Xenopus tropicalis: one gene and its partners. The protein of the gene in region 4 interacts with the protein of the main gene of each other region in a pairwise test. Links are inferred from orthologs where the notes say so. Each region holds a gene or a part of one and is shown on either strand. Other genes may lie near its edges. The genes, in order: tor1aip1, tmpo, fam161a and lmna.

Region 1 (4,085 bases), on a different chromosome or scaffold from region 4:
GTGGACTAGGGGTAGGCAGGAGAGGCTCCTGTCTGGTCCAGCCCTGCTTGCAACCACTTTTCCATTCTTTTACCTTTCTTTGTACTCTTTTTACTTCTACATATATTTTATCTCTGCATCTGTTCTCTTCTTTCCTCCCCCTTTCCTGCTGTGCTTTCCTATATTTTTATTATTTCTCCTACCTGTTTATCTTTTCTCCTTTCCATTACTTCTCCATTTTGATTTCCTTAGCTTGTTACTCATTATTAACTTCTAATTCTTTTCCCCTCATTATCCAAGGTTATGCTTGTCTACTTTTTTTTTCTCTTCTCTGTCTACTCATTTATTTCCTCCAGCACATCCCGCATCTTGCATTTCATTTACCCTTGCTAAGCAACAATACACTATAATGATTGATCCAATTTACCTGTCCTGATCTAGCAAGTAATAAAAAGCTTGACACAGCAGCTACCAATCTGTGCTTCTCTGCCTACAGCAATTAGTAGTGCAGGAAGATTAGATTGCTCAGCGCTGCAGGTAAAAAAGAACACAGCCCAAAGTAGCTGCTACAAAAAAGTTTCTATTATTCTGTGGCTAAGTGCAGGCAGATCAGATTTGTGCTGCTCAAAGTCGACAAGTGAAAACCCAATCCAACAGGGAATGTTAAAGGTTAAGGCCATCAGGTGGGGAATGTTTACCATATCATAGTTTACCAGGGACCAGCATTCTGAAAGTCAGTTCATTAGGGATTCATATAAGGATTGATAGGAACCTTACTATAAGCTTTAAAAATAAAATCAAAAGCAGAGTTCTACCTCATTTTGTATAGCCAGAAGCAATAAAAAAAATTTTGTGACCAAATATTTTACCTCGATTGGAAGACCTGATTGAATTTCTTGTCAACTTCATGTCTGCTGCAAATAGGAGAGAAAGGGAGAACCAGCATAATTATAACATTTCACTTACAGGGAGATTTATCTAACCCAAAATTATCTAATACTCTCCTAAAACATTTCTCAGAATTCATGAATTCTAAAAAATAAAATATATGGGGCAGTTCCCAATATAGGGACTTAGAATGTGGTGATCATTGTAGGGATGAAGTGTGATGCACTTTTAAGTCAAAAAGAACCTGGTGTCATGCTGCATGACACATCCCTAAAGATATCTAACCATAGGGCAGGAATAGACACACATGGCACTCTCAATGCTATAAAACAGGGGTCCTCAAACTTTTAAACAGGGGCCAGTTCATGGTCCCTCAGACTTTTGGGGGGCTGGAATATAGTCTCTAGTCTATAACCCACCCCACAAACTACAGCCTGCTCCAGCTCCCTGCTGAGTCCTCAAACTATGGCCCACTCTCACTGCCTGCTCCCATCTGCGTCCTAAAACTATGGCCTGCTCTAACATTCTCCCTCTCCCGGCTCCCCCACTCCCTCTCCCATCTCCCCACTGTGTCCTCCCGCTCCTTGCTGCGTTCTCGTGTCACGTCACCGCGATGAGGCAGACATATTTAGATCCTGAAATCTGCATTACCTAAAAAAGGTGCTTCTTCCTCATCATTTCTTGAGACATAAGCATCTAGAGAAAAGACATAAACAGTAATAGAAGAATAACATTTCTGTTTTATATATTTCTGTATCTTATCTAAAATTAAGAGACAGTGGCGTAACAAATTTGTGCTTGGCCCCCAGCAAAGAATCTTCGGAAGGGCTCAGCACACTACCCTTGCTCCCCAGGGTAGATAAGATAGCAGCTGGGGATTGGGGGATTTCTGACAACTATAGATGAAACAGACACTGCAGTCTGCGCCCCCTGCTTCCTCTATAGGTTCTGTTTTTATTAGCCCACAACTCTGGTGATGAAACGAATTCATTAAAAAAGGCTGGTGCGTCTTGTTGCCCCAAATCCACAATTTTTTGGGTTGGTTAAATACTGAATCCTCCACAAAAGAATAATCTGTATGCAGAAGAGAATGCAACCCCTAATTTGCTTAAACAAATTTAAGTAAAATGTAAAAACCGCATTGGTTTGTCCTAAATACTGTCAAATAGAAATCCTTCAAAAAGTGCTAGGATTCAGGGCTAACATCAGAATTTCACTTTTGCTTCTGGGGCTACTTGCAGGTGTAACAGGAGCCACCTCTGACATACCCCCAGATAAAAGCAAACTATATAGAAATAAATATTGATTTGACAGGGCCCCAGCAAAGACTATAACGTTTACAGCTGAACCTGCCCCCCCCCCCCTACAGTGATAAATAGGACAAATAGCGAATTAATAAATTATTAAGACTGTGTATATGATCCTCGGTATCTACTAATTCTCATATACACAGTCTTAGAAAGATCAGATCGTAAAAAGCAGATATAATACATTCATAATCGCTTCATACAAAAGCATTTAAAATGGATTGAAAGCGCGGGCTGACAACTTCTTTCGCTTTCGATTCTATAAAGCGAACTCCTTCTGGGCCTCTGCCGTGACCCAACTAATACAATTTATGAACGCGTTTAGGGAGTGTATCTTCTCCTGTCTGGGGCTTGGCTTACCTACCGGTGTTGGTTGTTTTACCTCCGTGAACGCTCATTGTTGACGACTGTCCTTAGCTATGACACCGTTGACCACGATAAAATCACTTTACTTGATGCGGAACCACTCCAACTTAACCCACGTTTCCGACGGTAAACTATGACTGACGCACCACAACGTTTAGCGAAGCCGATGCAGGAAGAGGGTAGCTGCTAGTTCCTAGTTGCGAACGGCCGCAAGTGACGTCATAAAACGTGAAGACGTAATGATGTCTCCGTTACGTGGGTGTAGCTGGAGGAAGCCGCAGGGGAGTCAGAGGAAGTTTCTGAGGGGGCTGGGGTGTTGGAGGAAGCCGCAGGGGAGCCAGAGGAAGTCTCTGGGGGGGCTGGGGTGTTGGAGGAAGCCGCAGGGGAGCCAGAGGAAGTCTCTGGGGGGGCTGGGGTGTTGGAGGAAGCCACAGGGGAGCTAGAGGAAGTCGCTGGGGGTGGGGCTGGAGGAAGCCCCAGGGAACCAGAGGAAGTCACTGGGGGTGGGGTGTTGGAGGAAGCCGAAGTGGAGCCAGAGGAAGTCGCTGGGGGGGCTGGGGTGTTGGAGGAAGCCGCAGGGGAGCCAGAGGAAGTCTCTGGGGGGGCTGGGGTGTTGGAGGAAGCCGCAGGGGAGCCAGAGGAAGTCTCTGGGGGGGCTGGGGTGTTGGAGGAAGCCACAGGGGAGCTAGAGGAAGTCGCTGGGGGTGGGGCTGGAGGAAGCCCCAGGGAACCAGAGGAAGTCACTGGGGGTGGGGTGTTGGAGGAAGCCGCAGTGGAGCCAGAGGAAGTCTCTGGGGGGGGGGGCTGGAGGAAGTTGCTGGGGGGGCTGGAGGAAGCCACAGGGGAGCCAGAGGAATTCGCTGGGGGGGGGGGCTGAAGGAAGCTACAGGGGAGCCAGAGCAAGTTGCTGGGGGGGGGCTGGAGAAAGCTGAAGGGGAGCCAAAGGAAGTCGCTGGGGTGTTGGAGGCAGCCGCAGGGGAGCCAGAGGAAGTCGCTGGGGGGGCTGGAGGAAGCCACAGGGGAGCCAGAGGAAGTCGCTGGGGGAGGGGCTGGAGGAAAGCGCAGGGGAGCTAGAGGAAGTCGCTGGGGGTGGGGCTGGAGGAAGCCCCAGGGAACCAGAGGAAGTCACTGGGGGTGGGGTGTTGGAGGAAGCCGCAGTGGAGCCAGAGGAAGTCGCTGGGGGGGCTGGGGTGTTGGAGGAAGCCACAGGGGAGCCAGAGGAAGTCTCTGGGGGGGCTGGGGTGTTGGAGGAAGCCGCAGGGGAGCCAGAGGAAGTCTCTGGGGGGGCTGGGGTGTTGGAGGAAGCCACAGGGGAGCTAGAGGAAGTCGCTGGGGGTGGGGCTGGAGGAAGCCCCAGGGAACCAGAGGAAGTCACTGGGGGTGGGGTGTTGGAGGAAGCCGCAGTGGAGCCAGAGGAAGTCTCTGGGGGGGGGGGGCTGGAGGAAGTTGCTGGGGGGCTGGAGGAAGCCACAGGGGAGCCAGAGGAATTCGCTGGGGGGGGGGGGCTGAAGGAAGCTACAGGGGAGCCAGAGCAAGTCGCTGGGG
Region 2 (3,563 bases), on a different chromosome or scaffold from region 4:
ATGTACCATCTTTATTAATGTACAAAAGTTTGAAGTGCGGTGATATTTTCAGACAGTATGGGACAAATGGCAGGTTTTCTTATTCCTTGAGTTGTTAAAAATATAAACTGTAATTCAATCCCCCCCCTCAAAAATAAACTTAAAAATCAGTTTCAGTCTTGTTTGATTCTGTGATGCCAAGAAGGAATTTAGAAAATGCTATTCCTTCATTTGTTTCCATAGCTTGATAGACTAAAAAGCAAAACACAGCCAAGAGGACAAACATCAAAATCTTTATCCATACAGGTATTGACCGTCCAGGTTTCACTTTTTCTGCCTTCACCTCCACTGCTGGTGTGTACTTTGAAACATTTGAAACATATTTTGATGTATAGGTTTCATCTATTTTGTATTCTGTGGAATTTAATGGTCGCCCTGCGGCTCCTTTAATTGGCCTGCGACAGCTGGCACTAAACAAGAAAAATGGGAGAAAAAAAACGTCAGTGAGAAAAATAGTGTGAAACAGTTGACAGTCAAGATAAAGGACAGTATACAAAAACTATGTGTAATAATTTAAAGGACTAGAACAACTTTTATTAAAACAAAATCTCGAAAACATACGAAAACTTCATCCTACTTGGCTAAATTGTTGTTTGCCAGCTAGGAGTCACCAAATTTGACAGTTTGTCAGGAAAAGGCCTCCAGCGCAAGTTATTGATATGCAAATGCATTTTGAGTTATGGCTCACCTATAACAAAGGATGCAAATGCTCATGTGGTACAACAAACTTGCTCTGAAGTCTTGATATAAGCTCAAACAGAGCAACTAGGAGTTGTGGCAAGCTGCTCATCATGACACTAAGTAATGTTGCCAGTGACAAGTGCCAGCAAAAAGGTCCAACAACAACCGTTTACAACAGCTTGTCAGCTTGTTATGGAAATGTCATAGGTCTAATAAATGTTGATTACATTTTGTGATTTGCAGCAAGTTTGTATATGAGGGTATTTGTTGGTGCCATCTGGCACTGAATTAAGAAGGGTACAGGATGTATAGAGACTCAGGAAAGCCAGTTAAGATCCATTTAAAGACCGGCTTCACTGCACAGTTTCTGAATTGGTATGTTCTAGAATCCTAGTATACTTTTTTTTAGAAAAGCAATTTGCATTGTCAAATAACCATGAAAAATGAATTTTAGCATTAGTGTATTAGTAAACATTATTATAACAACCTGATTCCAGTTGGAGTGTGAATTTCATTTGGAAACATTTCCTTAAGAATATCTCTTTCAGTTCTTCTCTCCTCAAAAGTCTTTTCTACAAGCTAAAAAGAGAATAAAAGAAAAATCTAGTTAAAATGCAAATGGCACAAAATTTATGAAGAAAAACCACAGATCACCATATAAGAAAGTGGCTAAATAAAAAGTTTCACCACGTGCACAAAAAAAAACCCCAAAAAACCAAAAACCCTCTTTCCTGTTTTTTTACAGGTGTTACAAACTTCGTTATTTTCAACTGCTTTGTCTTTTTTGGAGTTTCCAAAGAGTCATCATCGATGTTTTTCGTTTCCTTCAATATGAAGAAAATCCTTAGGGTCACTTATCTATACATTGCCAGACCAAAGGAAAACTATAAGGGGGGGCATATTTAAGCCATCACCTCTATTAAAGCTGTGTTAAGAAGATCATTGGGGTTTGCATAACCAATACTATCAACATCAATCAACCTGATTTGAGAAGAAGCGGATTCAGTTTCACGTGTTACGTTCAAATGCTGCAACTGTATAAACACATGTTAAAAGAAAACAGCATGCTTTAAAATGAATGACATGAGATTTTGCAAAATTAAGTCCCCTGATAAATTGAACCACAATATAAAGAGGAATCCGAAAAAAGGCGCCTTTTTTATAGCACAGTTTCATAAATATAAGCGACCTTATGCTATATTGCTATATGGAACAAGAAAAGCTAATCTAAACTTATAAGTATTTACTTTTTCACTGATCAGCTGTTTCTTAGGGGTTCTTCTGCTCAGTTCTGAGAATTCGCTCACTGACAGCAATGTCTCTGCATGCTTCAAACTTTCAGGCACGTGATCAACAACCTTACGAGATTCAAAGTGCTTATTTTCAGCATAAGTCTACATAAAAAGAAGAAAAAAAATGTTAAGAGCTTTAGATGGAAGTGTATGTTTCCTCCAGCTCATCAGAAAATTCTACGTTTTCAAAATTATTAAATTACACAGCATTAGCAGAACGCCTGTTAATCGCTAAAAACAATGCTCACAGTTAGCTACAAAAGTAAAATATATATTTACTAATATTTGGTTGCTTGCAGGTACTACTGTTTCAGATATAGAAGGGACCTCTGCAAGATCTGCATCATCAAAAGGGACTGGATCAGGAGCTACCACCTATTAATTGGGAAAAAAAAAAAACTGGAATTAGTATAAACTAGTGCCAGGTCACTATCTCCAAGGCTAGAGACTTCAATATAATAACGGTCATCACCCTTTTTCTTGGGGTTCGCCGGGATAATTTTGTTGACTCCTTATAAACAGTCTGCACAGGTCCACTTTTTGAAGGTCCAGATGTCCATGCTGCCTCGGTAACTATATCTTCAGACACGATCTAATTAAATATTAAATGTGAATTAAATAAACCCTGTACTCAAAACTTCAGTGGCCACAACTGTCTGGCACATGCAGAGGTGAAAAAAAGACCAAAAAACAAACATAAAAACCCCTAAACCCACAGAAGTGCTTAATGACCTCTATTATGAAATAGCGAATCAGTGAAAGTGCTTTAGAACCAATAGAAAGGTCCATAAAAGTACAAGAAACTGTGCAATAAATATTTAGAGATTAAATATGGCTATCCAGTGACTCAAGCTGTTTAGAAAATCATATTTTTTACAGGGAGATAAGTAGATAGTTCTTCAGCATCAGGGGTAAACTCCTTAGGAGGAGATCTGTTACTTCGTTTGACATTTAATTCTGGTATGAGATCAGTGTCTTCCTCCACCTAAATATAAGAAAGTCAATTCTGCACATGATAAAGAAAACCTGCATCAATAATATTTTCATATTCTATTCGAACATTCAAAAGTAATATGATACTAAAAATATTCAGAGAATGTTTAATATGGCAGACATAACAGATAAAATCAAAAACTGTATAGTTAGAATGGTTCAATGTGTTCAACTCTAAACTGTCTTGTCTGGGTGCGCAAAAAGACATGCCCCTCGATAAATCTTTTGCTTATAACAGTAATTGAATGAATGAGGACCAATTATCTTACCTAATGTACAATTTCTTAGGGTAATTCACTTTAATTATAGATAAGCTTAGGGTGTACTGGAACACACCATCCTAAGCATCAGGACATGAGGCAACATCTGGGCAAATAAATTTAATTAAATCCAAAGATGTGAAAGGACCGCTGCTAATGAATTTTACTAATCTTAAATGTATTTTGAATTACACAGCATAAACCTTTCTAAAAATAAAAAAAAATGTTTTTAAACTTTTTATGGTAGGGCCACACGGGATTGAATCAGCCAATTCACTGGCCTTTGCTTGTTTGGGTG
Region 3 (4,294 bases), on a different chromosome or scaffold from region 4:
ACAAAAAGAAGTATAGCAAACACCATCTGGCTAACACAGCATACACCATAATAAGCTTACACTGCTAACAGATATAGCCTGTAATCTCTTGTGGGCAGGGCCTGTTGCATCTCTTGTTTCAGTCTCCCATTATCTCTGTTTATTAGTCATTTCCTTGCACATCACTGGTTAATTTGAGATATATATTTATATATATATATAAACTGTATAAAGAAAAAAAATTTATAATATAGGAAAATTTAACAGAGCATCATAAGCTTATATCTACATATAACAGAAATATAATAAATGAATGGGCAGGGATTAAAGGACAACACAGACAAATTCACCGTGGAGATGCCAATTTGTTACCAGCCTCACGGACTCCTGTGGGTGCTACTCATCTTTGAAAAATGTTTTTATTAAAGCACAGAGCTGCCATCTTTTGCTTCTATTTTCCCATTTATTGCATTCACGTGCATTGATTTAGATGCAAGTAAGTGTGTTCTTGTAAGTTCAACAGTCATTTCTTCATTCTATTACATTCTGAACGTGCGTCAAATGCACAAATATAGTAAGTAATTTTAAAACCACTGAAAACCTTTCATTAACATATTTGCTTAAAATTACATTTTCTTTTATTGTACAAAAATACTAGTTGCAGGGATCCACTATTTTCGGATTCATCCAAACCCCGAACCCTTCGTAAAAGATTTGTCCAAATACCGAACCAAATCCAAATTTGCATATGTAAATTAGGACACGGAAGGGTTAACGAGTGCAGCAAAAAATGTTCAACTTCCGTATTTATGTGACAAAAAGTGTTTTTAAGGATTCAGATTTGGTTTGGCCAGGAGCGTGGATTCAGCTGAATATGAATCCTGCTGAAAAAGGCTGAATCTTGGCCAAATCCTAAACCGAATCCTGGATTTGGTGCATCCGTAACTAGTTGTCAATGTTTTACTTGTGTTAAGTGTGACATGAATGTAAGTTTTGGGACAGGTCCATACTCTCCCCCACTCCCTGTACGCTTTCCTTCTCCAGATATAATGACTATGAGATCTCTTTTCAGCCCTGCAGATTTTATAGACATTGAGACAACACCATCACGGGTTTGCCAGTGCTCTGCTTAATTCAGTAAATTGCTTCCCAGCTAATGCTCTATAGTCACTAAAAATAACTACCAATCTAATCCTCTTTTAAACGGGATCCCCTACATTGTAGCTTATACTGTTCAGCTTTTCACCATTATTAGCATGTAAATGTAACTGATGTGCCAAATAGCACTCTGTATAATTAGCACTGGCATCACATGATCCCATCTGTTAATTAACCGGTGCCGAATAGGCTTATAAAATAAACACCAGATGACAGGCTAGAGATAATTCCCAGAGCATGCTGCCCTTCCATGCCCAGGCTAACTAAGTAATACAGCGATGTCAAACCTGCGGCCCTCCAGCGATTGTTTAACTACATCTCCCATCAGCAGGGTCAGCAGCCTCTGTTACTTTTTTGTAAACATTATCCCAATGAGTAGCACCCCCCAAGTGGAGTCGGAGTCAGAAGCAACTACTGAGTAGCTGAAGGATTTATGTAAAGACTCCATAGACTGGCCAGGGCTGTGGAGTCAGATTTGTAGAGTCAGAAGCAAATTTGGGTACCTGGAGTCTGAAGTACCATAAACTGAGGAGTCACTGGATATATGTACCAACTCCAAAGCCCTGCCCTATAATTGCACCTTAGGCACATGCCCCTTCTGCCTACCCCTAGTTCTGGGCTTACCTACCATTCTTCAACATATAACAAAGGAGTTGTGGGGCCAGCAACACTTGGGAACCCAAAGGTTCTGTTCCAAACAGAGTTCTAATGTTTGCCGCCTGTGCCCAACTCATATGCCTACTGTCTATAAGTTACAGCAGAACAAACCAGGCTGTAAACCCCAAAATACCATGTTTGCCTAATAAAAAACGTAAATCTACGAAACTTTCCAACAGAAATTCATAAACATTTTTCAATGGTCTTAAAGAGATACTGACACCAGAAAGTAAATCTTTTTTTTTACATCTATAATAACATTGTCTTTGCAAGAACTTTAGAATTTTGCCATAAAAATATTTGCCTGATGCGTTTACATTACCTGTCTGATCCTCGGTTCCTCTAAGTGGGGGCAGCCATATTTGTCTGTTAGCATTAGAAGCTGTAACTGACAGGCTGGGAAGGGACAGTCAGGTTGGCAAAACAGTCAGGTGTAGGAACTTCAAGTAACAATTACTTACAAAAGCAAACCTGTCAGCGAGACACCATCAACATGACCTATAGGTAACTTTTTATGTATATTCATATTTTAAAGTGAACTGTAAATGTAATTGCCATTTAGATCTGTCTAATGAAGCACTGTAGCAGCAGCCACTTGCCTGTTCCTAGCCCTGTCTGTGAATCAGCTGCCCTCTGCTACATTGTTTCACTAGTTACAACCAGCAGTTTGACAGATGAAGCTATCAAAAGAAGTTCTACTTACAAATAACTTTAACACAATGGGACATTTGTAATAAATATATTTGTATATATAAGTTTAGCTCAGAGATAAATTGTTAAGAAGTTTGCTATCTTTAGGTTTCTATGAGCTTTAATATTCCAGCTGTAAGAATAGTATCCATACCATTGATGTTCTTGGAAGTCTCTGGGGTGAGACAGAGGCAGTTCGTTGTTGTTGCCTTTCCCCCAACTCCCGTTCGTACAGGGCAAGCGGTGCTTTGGTGTAGGGGTTCACAGGGGTCCTCACACAGGCGGCAGCGAGCACTGATTCCTTGTGAGCCTGCGCCATATTGGCACGGAACCTTCAGCTTTGGCCGCTGCCTGGCAACCGCCGACGCTACGGAGTCTGCGAGAGACCAACCTCTAAAGCGATCACAAACTGAAGCCACGCCACATGGCATGAGAGAAAGGAGACAATAACCTAGAGCGCGCTGTTTTCAGAGCAGCAACTGGCGCAGGCTTCCAGAGTTTTGCATCCAGCTTTAGTTTATCTGCCGCAGAATGAGACTAATGATGGTGGAAATGCGAGTGCTTAGGGTACTCCCAAAGGCAGAGCATAACCAGCTCCAAACTTCAGCCCACACATATACATTTGGCGACATCTAAAGCGCCGGCTGCCAACACAATACTCTAGCTCCGCTTTCCTATAGGGCGCTCTAGCGATAGTGCCCACCCTGCGCTCTGATTGGCTGAGGCGAGAGCACTACAGCCCCCTCCGCACGGATTTGGAAGAGAGCGGATAATAATCCCGGTAGGGGCGGAATAATGCACAAAGTGCAGTTATTAGTTTATTTGCCTTCAGATAGCTTTTCATATGCCCGTGGTTTTTAATTTGTGTGCCCAAGAGCCAGAGAAGGGGTGGGTAAGGCTCATAAGGGTGACCATAGGAGGTGCCTACTTACTTACAAAGGCTCATTGTTGAATTTAGGGTGATCTCTTCTTTTTTTACGCTAGACCTTCCTGGCATTAAGGTTAAACTATTAAAGTTGTAATACATTTCAAAGCATTGTGGGAACTGTAATCTTACTGAATAGCATCCTTTATTTTCTGTAAATTACTTTTTGGGTGCTTGATCATAATTTAGGAGCATTATAAATAGCACTTGACTATACTCCTATGGCATGTGTGTACCTTTCATGTATATTTATGTTATTTTACACAAACAAATTAAGGTTACACATACCTTAAAGGAGACATATCTTATAAAAATAATGAATGTACCAGTGAATTATACTCCTCTAGACATAGAAGGAATGTGCTTTAAAAAGTTGTATTTCAGACTGATTTATTGAGAAATTCCCCCAAACCCCACTAGCCCCGCCCATCTGTTCCACTTCCTGCTGGCTGAATTCTTTGGATGTGCAGGGGGTGCCAGCGGCCCTCCATAAACTGCACTGTAGGATAGGAACCAATCAGCAGCTAGGCTGACCTGATAGGGAACTGAAGCCTGTCTGTGCTTGTGTGAGTGCAGGGCTGTGATTGGCTCTCCTCCTCCTACTGTGCTTCTGGCAGGGACTGTTGGGACACGCCCACTCTTCATTTCTATAGGGAGCTCCAATAAAGAGGCCATTGTTACAGAGAGGATTAATTTTTAGCACAAAGTGAAATCAGCACCATATATTATTCATAATTGCCTACAAAATTAGCGTTTTTCCCCTTTATCCAATATGTCTCCTTTAATGTAAAATCATTCAGAATATCCTTCCGAGCACTTTTGCAATTTACATTCTTTTTTTCTGCTTAGTTCTATTGTTAGAGGGGCAATGGAAATGAGCAGAGA
Region 4 (4,028 bases):
TAACTGGGGGGGGGGGTGAAAGACAGACTAATGCCCCAGGGAGTGGGGGGGGGGTAACCCTGAATATAGTCTAGAATATTACTATTATCGTTTTAATGCATGCTAATTAACTACAACTCCCAGAATCCACTGGGACCCATTCCCCCCCAGTTGAGTCCAGCGAGGGCCCTGGGAGATACTGGGTGCAACAGTCTCTCCATTCATCCCCCGGGGGGCGCCGTGCTATTGTGGCCTATTGGGCAGGACTGCAAGTGAGCCAGCCCTGCGTCACATAATCACATAATCAGGCGCTTCCTTTCCCAGCATGCCCTGGGCCCCACGCAACTTGTCTGCTAATTGCTGGGGGGGGGGGTAATTAATTTAAGGCAGATCCTGGGAAGCGACTGTACAAGGAAATCCATGTTTCTGCTGGAAAATCAGCCGCTGCCGCCCGCAACGCTGGCAAAGCCTCCCGCCACTTGGCTCGGGGAGAGCAAAGTCTTGTTTTTCCAGGGATGTGAGTAAAACACAAGCCCATATAAGGGAATGCCAGTCTGTGACTGTGTGACTGCAACTCCCAGCATCCTCAGCAGCAAAGAGCTGGCAACTTGCGCCAACAAAAATAAAAAAAAATGGCTGCCAAATATTGTTTTGTGTGGCACTTAATGGGGCACAGGGGTTTCCCGTGGCATTGTGGGTATGCCCCTATGGGCAGGGTGGCATGGATAGGCATGGCAGGAAGGGATAAACAGGCTGGGCACAAAGTGGCACACCCTACTCTAGTGGCACCAATGCCCATATGGAATATACAGATACGGTGGCACCAATGCCCATATGGTATAGATACGGTGGCACCAATGCCCATATGGAATATATAGATACGGTGGCACCAATGCCCATATGGAATATATAGATACGGTGGCACCAATGCCCATATGGAATATATAGATACGGTGGCACCAATGCCCATATGGAATATATAGATACGGTGGCACCAATGCCCATATGGAATATATAGATAAGGTGGCACCAATGCCCATATGGAATATATAGATACGGTGGCACCAATGCCCATATGGAATATACAGATACGGTGGCACCAATGCCCATATGGAATATACAGATACGGTGGCACCAATGCCCATATGGAATATACAGATACGGTGGCACCAATGCCGGGGCACCACTTGGGGCAGAGTCAGGGTAAGGGGCATTTATAGAACCTGCAACTGCCCCGGGTACCAATGAACCAATCCAAAGAGAGCCCTAAACGCACAGCTGCCACCCTTACCCTCTGAGTTGTGGGGGCACAGGGTCTCCCAATGGTGGGTGGGCACCGCACAAATAACTTTGTTTCCTATTTTAGCCGGTGACTCCCCGGCACAGACTCCCAGCACAGTAGGGACAACACCACGCGGCACGGGGAGTATTTATATTGGAATGAGCTCACTGGTGTGAGATACTCGGCACGTGGCGCGCGCTGCTCATACATCAATGTAAAAACACCCACTGGGGTAGATACAGGGAACTGCCTCCCAGCAGGGCCGGTGGGACAGTAAAGGACTGGGGGGGAACATAAGGAAGTGCTACTTTACAGAAAGGGGAGTAGATACAGGGAACAGCCTCCCAGCAGTGGCGGTGGGACTAATACAGTAAGGGGCATAGATACAGGGAACTGCCTCCCAGCAGGGCCGGTGGGACTGATACAGTAAGGGGCATAGATACAGGAAACTGCCTCCCAGTAGGGCCGGTGGGACTGATACAGTAAGGGGCATAGATACAGGGAACAGCCTCCCAGCAGGGCCGGTGGGACTGATACAGTAAAGGAATAGGGGGGGAGGCTGAAAGGGAACATAGGGAAGTGCTACTTTACAGAAAGGGGCATAGATACAGGGAACTGCCTCCCAGCAGGGCCGGTGGGACTGATACAGTAAGGGGCATAGATACAGGGAACTGCCTCCCAGCAGGGCCGGTGGGACTAATACAGTAAGGGGGGTAGATACAGGGAACTGCCTCCCAGCAGGGGTGGTGGGACTAATACAGTAAGGGGGGTAGATACAGGGAACTGCCTCCCAGCAGGGGTGGTGGGACTAATACAGTAAGGGGCATAGATACAGGGAACTACCTCCCAGCAGGGGTGGTGGGACTAATAAAGTAAGGGGAGTAGATACAGGGAACTGCCTCCCTGCAGGGCCGGTGGGACTAATAAGGAATAGACACCCTGTGGGATGCAATGGAGTCGCTGCTGCTGAAGACAAGCGGCGCCCCCTACAGGCAGGTCTGATAACACCAATCCTCTCCCAGTAGCCCTGGCATGAGTCAGGTTTGCCCCAGGCGTGGGCATTCCTACACATCCTATGACTCCTATGGGCTGGGCTCACATTTCCATCCCGGTGCCAAGGAGCCCAGTGTAACCGACCCCCACCCCATCCCGCTGGCACACAGTCCTGGCACCCCCGGGTCCTACCTCGCTTTCAGCTCCTTGTGCTCCTCGCGGATCTTGCTGAGCTCCAGCTGCAGGCGAGCCCTCTCCTTGGCCACCGAGTCGAGAGTTTTGCGGGCGTCCGCCAGTTCCGCCTCGTAGGCCCCCTTGATGCCCGACACCTCGCGACTGACCACCTCTTCGGACTCAGTGATGCGCAGGCGCAGCCCGGCGTTCTCCGACTCCAAGGAGCGCACCTTGTCGATGTAGACGGCCAATCGGTCGTTGAGTTCCTGCAGGTCTTCCTTCTCCTGCAGGCGGGTGATGCGGGTGGGGGAGAGTGGGGTGTGGGTGCTGCGGGTCGCCCGCTTCTGCCCGGGGGTCTCCATGGCTCTTGGCGAATACACGGGGGGCTGTCAGTGCGCAGGGATCTGCTTTCCTTCTCCGCCTCTGACAGTCTGCTGTGCCCAGTGGCTCCCAGTTACATCCACTCGCAACTGCCAGCCCCTGGGCGGGGCCAGGGGAGGAGCCTAAAGGGAAAGGAAAACTCAAATCATGGCCCTGTCCCCCCCCCCCCCCAACCGGCTGCTTGACGTGAGGCATCTGGGGACACAGCAGAGCTGTCAGTCAATATAACTCCCTGCAACCCTCCGGCTCTGACCCAAGCCATTACAGAACTACACATCCCATCAGCCCCAGCGGGTTCGCTTACCCCTGAACACAGCACATTGGAGCGACTAAAAGCCTTGAACTGCAACTCCCAGAACCCTCAGCTGGTTCGCCAATATCAGTCACCAATATAACTCCCTGCAACCCTCCAGCACTGACCCAAGCCACTTCCAGCCATTACAGAACTACACATCCCATCAGCCTCAGCGGGTTCGCTTACCCCTAAACACAGCAGATTGGAACAATTGAAAGCCTTGAACCGCAACTCCCAGAACCCTCAGCGGGTTCGCTTACCCCAGAACCCAGCACATTGGAGCGATTGAAAGCCTTGAACTGCAACTCCCAGAACCCTCAGCGGGTTTGCTTACCCCAGAACACAGCAGATTGGAGCAATGGAAAGCCTTAAACTGCAACTCCCAGAACCCTCAGCGGGTTCGCCAATATCAGTCACCAATATAACTCCCTGCAACCCTCCAGCACTGACCCAAGCCACTTCCAGCCATTACAGAACTACACATCCCATCAGCCTCAGCGGGTTCGCTTACCCCTAAACACAGCAGATTGGAACAATTAAAAGCCTTGAACCGCAACTCCCAGAACCCTCAGCGGGTTCGCTTACCCCAGAACACAGCACATTGGAGCGATTGAAAGCCTTGAACTGCAACTCCCAGAACCCTCAGCGGGTTCGCTTACCCCTGAACACAGCACATTGGAGCGATTGAAAGCCTTGAACTGCAACTCCCAGGAACCCTCAGCGGGTTCGCTTACCCCTGAACACAGCACATTGGAGCGATTGAAAGCCTTGAACTGCAACTCCCAGAACCCTCAGCGGGTTCGCTTACCCCTGAACACAGCACATTGGAGCGATTGAAAGCCTTGAACTGCAACTCCCAGAACCCTCAGCGGGTTCGCTTACCCCAGAACACAGCACATTGGAGCGATTGAAAGCCTTGAACTG

The links.
Region 1: the proteins of lmna (region 4) and tor1aip1 interact in a two-hybrid assay, tested with the Homo sapiens proteins (2 studies listed by BioGRID). The link is inferred for Xenopus tropicalis from reciprocal best matches to the Homo sapiens genes LMNA and TOR1AIP1.
Region 2: the proteins of lmna (region 4) and tmpo interact in a two-hybrid assay, tested with the Homo sapiens proteins (2 studies listed by BioGRID, with this or other methods). The link is inferred for Xenopus tropicalis from reciprocal best matches to the Homo sapiens genes LMNA and TMPO.
Region 3: the proteins of lmna (region 4) and fam161a interact in binary tests that used the Homo sapiens proteins (3 or more experiments, as listed by UniProt). The link is inferred for Xenopus tropicalis from reciprocal best matches to the Homo sapiens genes LMNA and FAM161A.

The regions. Positions count from the first base shown.
Region 1 is NC_030680.2:101,249,714-101,253,798, forward strand, and holds the start of tor1aip1 (torsin-1A-interacting protein 1), read right to left. Parts: upstream 2,838-4,085; 5' UTR 2,573-2,837; coding exon 2,539-2,572; exon of another isoform or gene 2,535-2,538; intron 2,488-2,534; exon of another isoform or gene 2,378-2,487; intron 1,564-2,377; coding exon 1,519-1,563; intron 894-1,518; coding exon of another isoform or gene 891-893; coding exon 849-890; intron 1-848. UniProt on the Homo sapiens protein: Required for nuclear membrane integrity. Induces TOR1A and TOR1B ATPase activity and is required for their location on the nuclear membrane. Binds to A- and B-type lamins. Possible role in membrane attachment and assembly of the nuclear lamina.
Region 2 is NC_030679.2:51,516,403-51,519,965, reverse strand, and holds part of tmpo (thymopoietin), read right to left. Parts: intron 2,998-3,563; coding exon of another isoform or gene 2,890-2,997; intron 2,605-2,889; coding exon 2,485-2,604; intron 2,388-2,484; coding exon 2,292-2,387; intron 2,115-2,291; coding exon 1,968-2,114; intron 1,755-1,967; coding exon of another isoform or gene 1,635-1,754; intron 1,545-1,634; coding exon of another isoform or gene 1,452-1,544; intron 1,300-1,451; coding exon 1,208-1,299; intron 450-1,207; coding exon 140-449; 3' UTR 1-139. UniProt on the Homo sapiens protein: May help direct the assembly of the nuclear lamina and thereby help maintain the structural organization of the nuclear envelope. Possible receptor for attachment of lamin filaments to the inner nuclear membrane.
Region 3 is NC_030681.2:33,455,195-33,459,488, reverse strand, and holds the start of fam161a (protein FAM161A), read right to left. Parts: upstream 2,835-4,294; 5' UTR 2,804-2,834; coding exon 2,639-2,803; intron 1-2,638. UniProt on the Homo sapiens protein: Involved in ciliogenesis.
Region 4 is NC_030684.2:142,967,498-142,971,525, forward strand, and holds the start of lmna (lamin), read right to left. Parts: upstream 2,838-4,028; 5' UTR 2,791-2,837; coding exon 2,447-2,790; intron 1-2,446.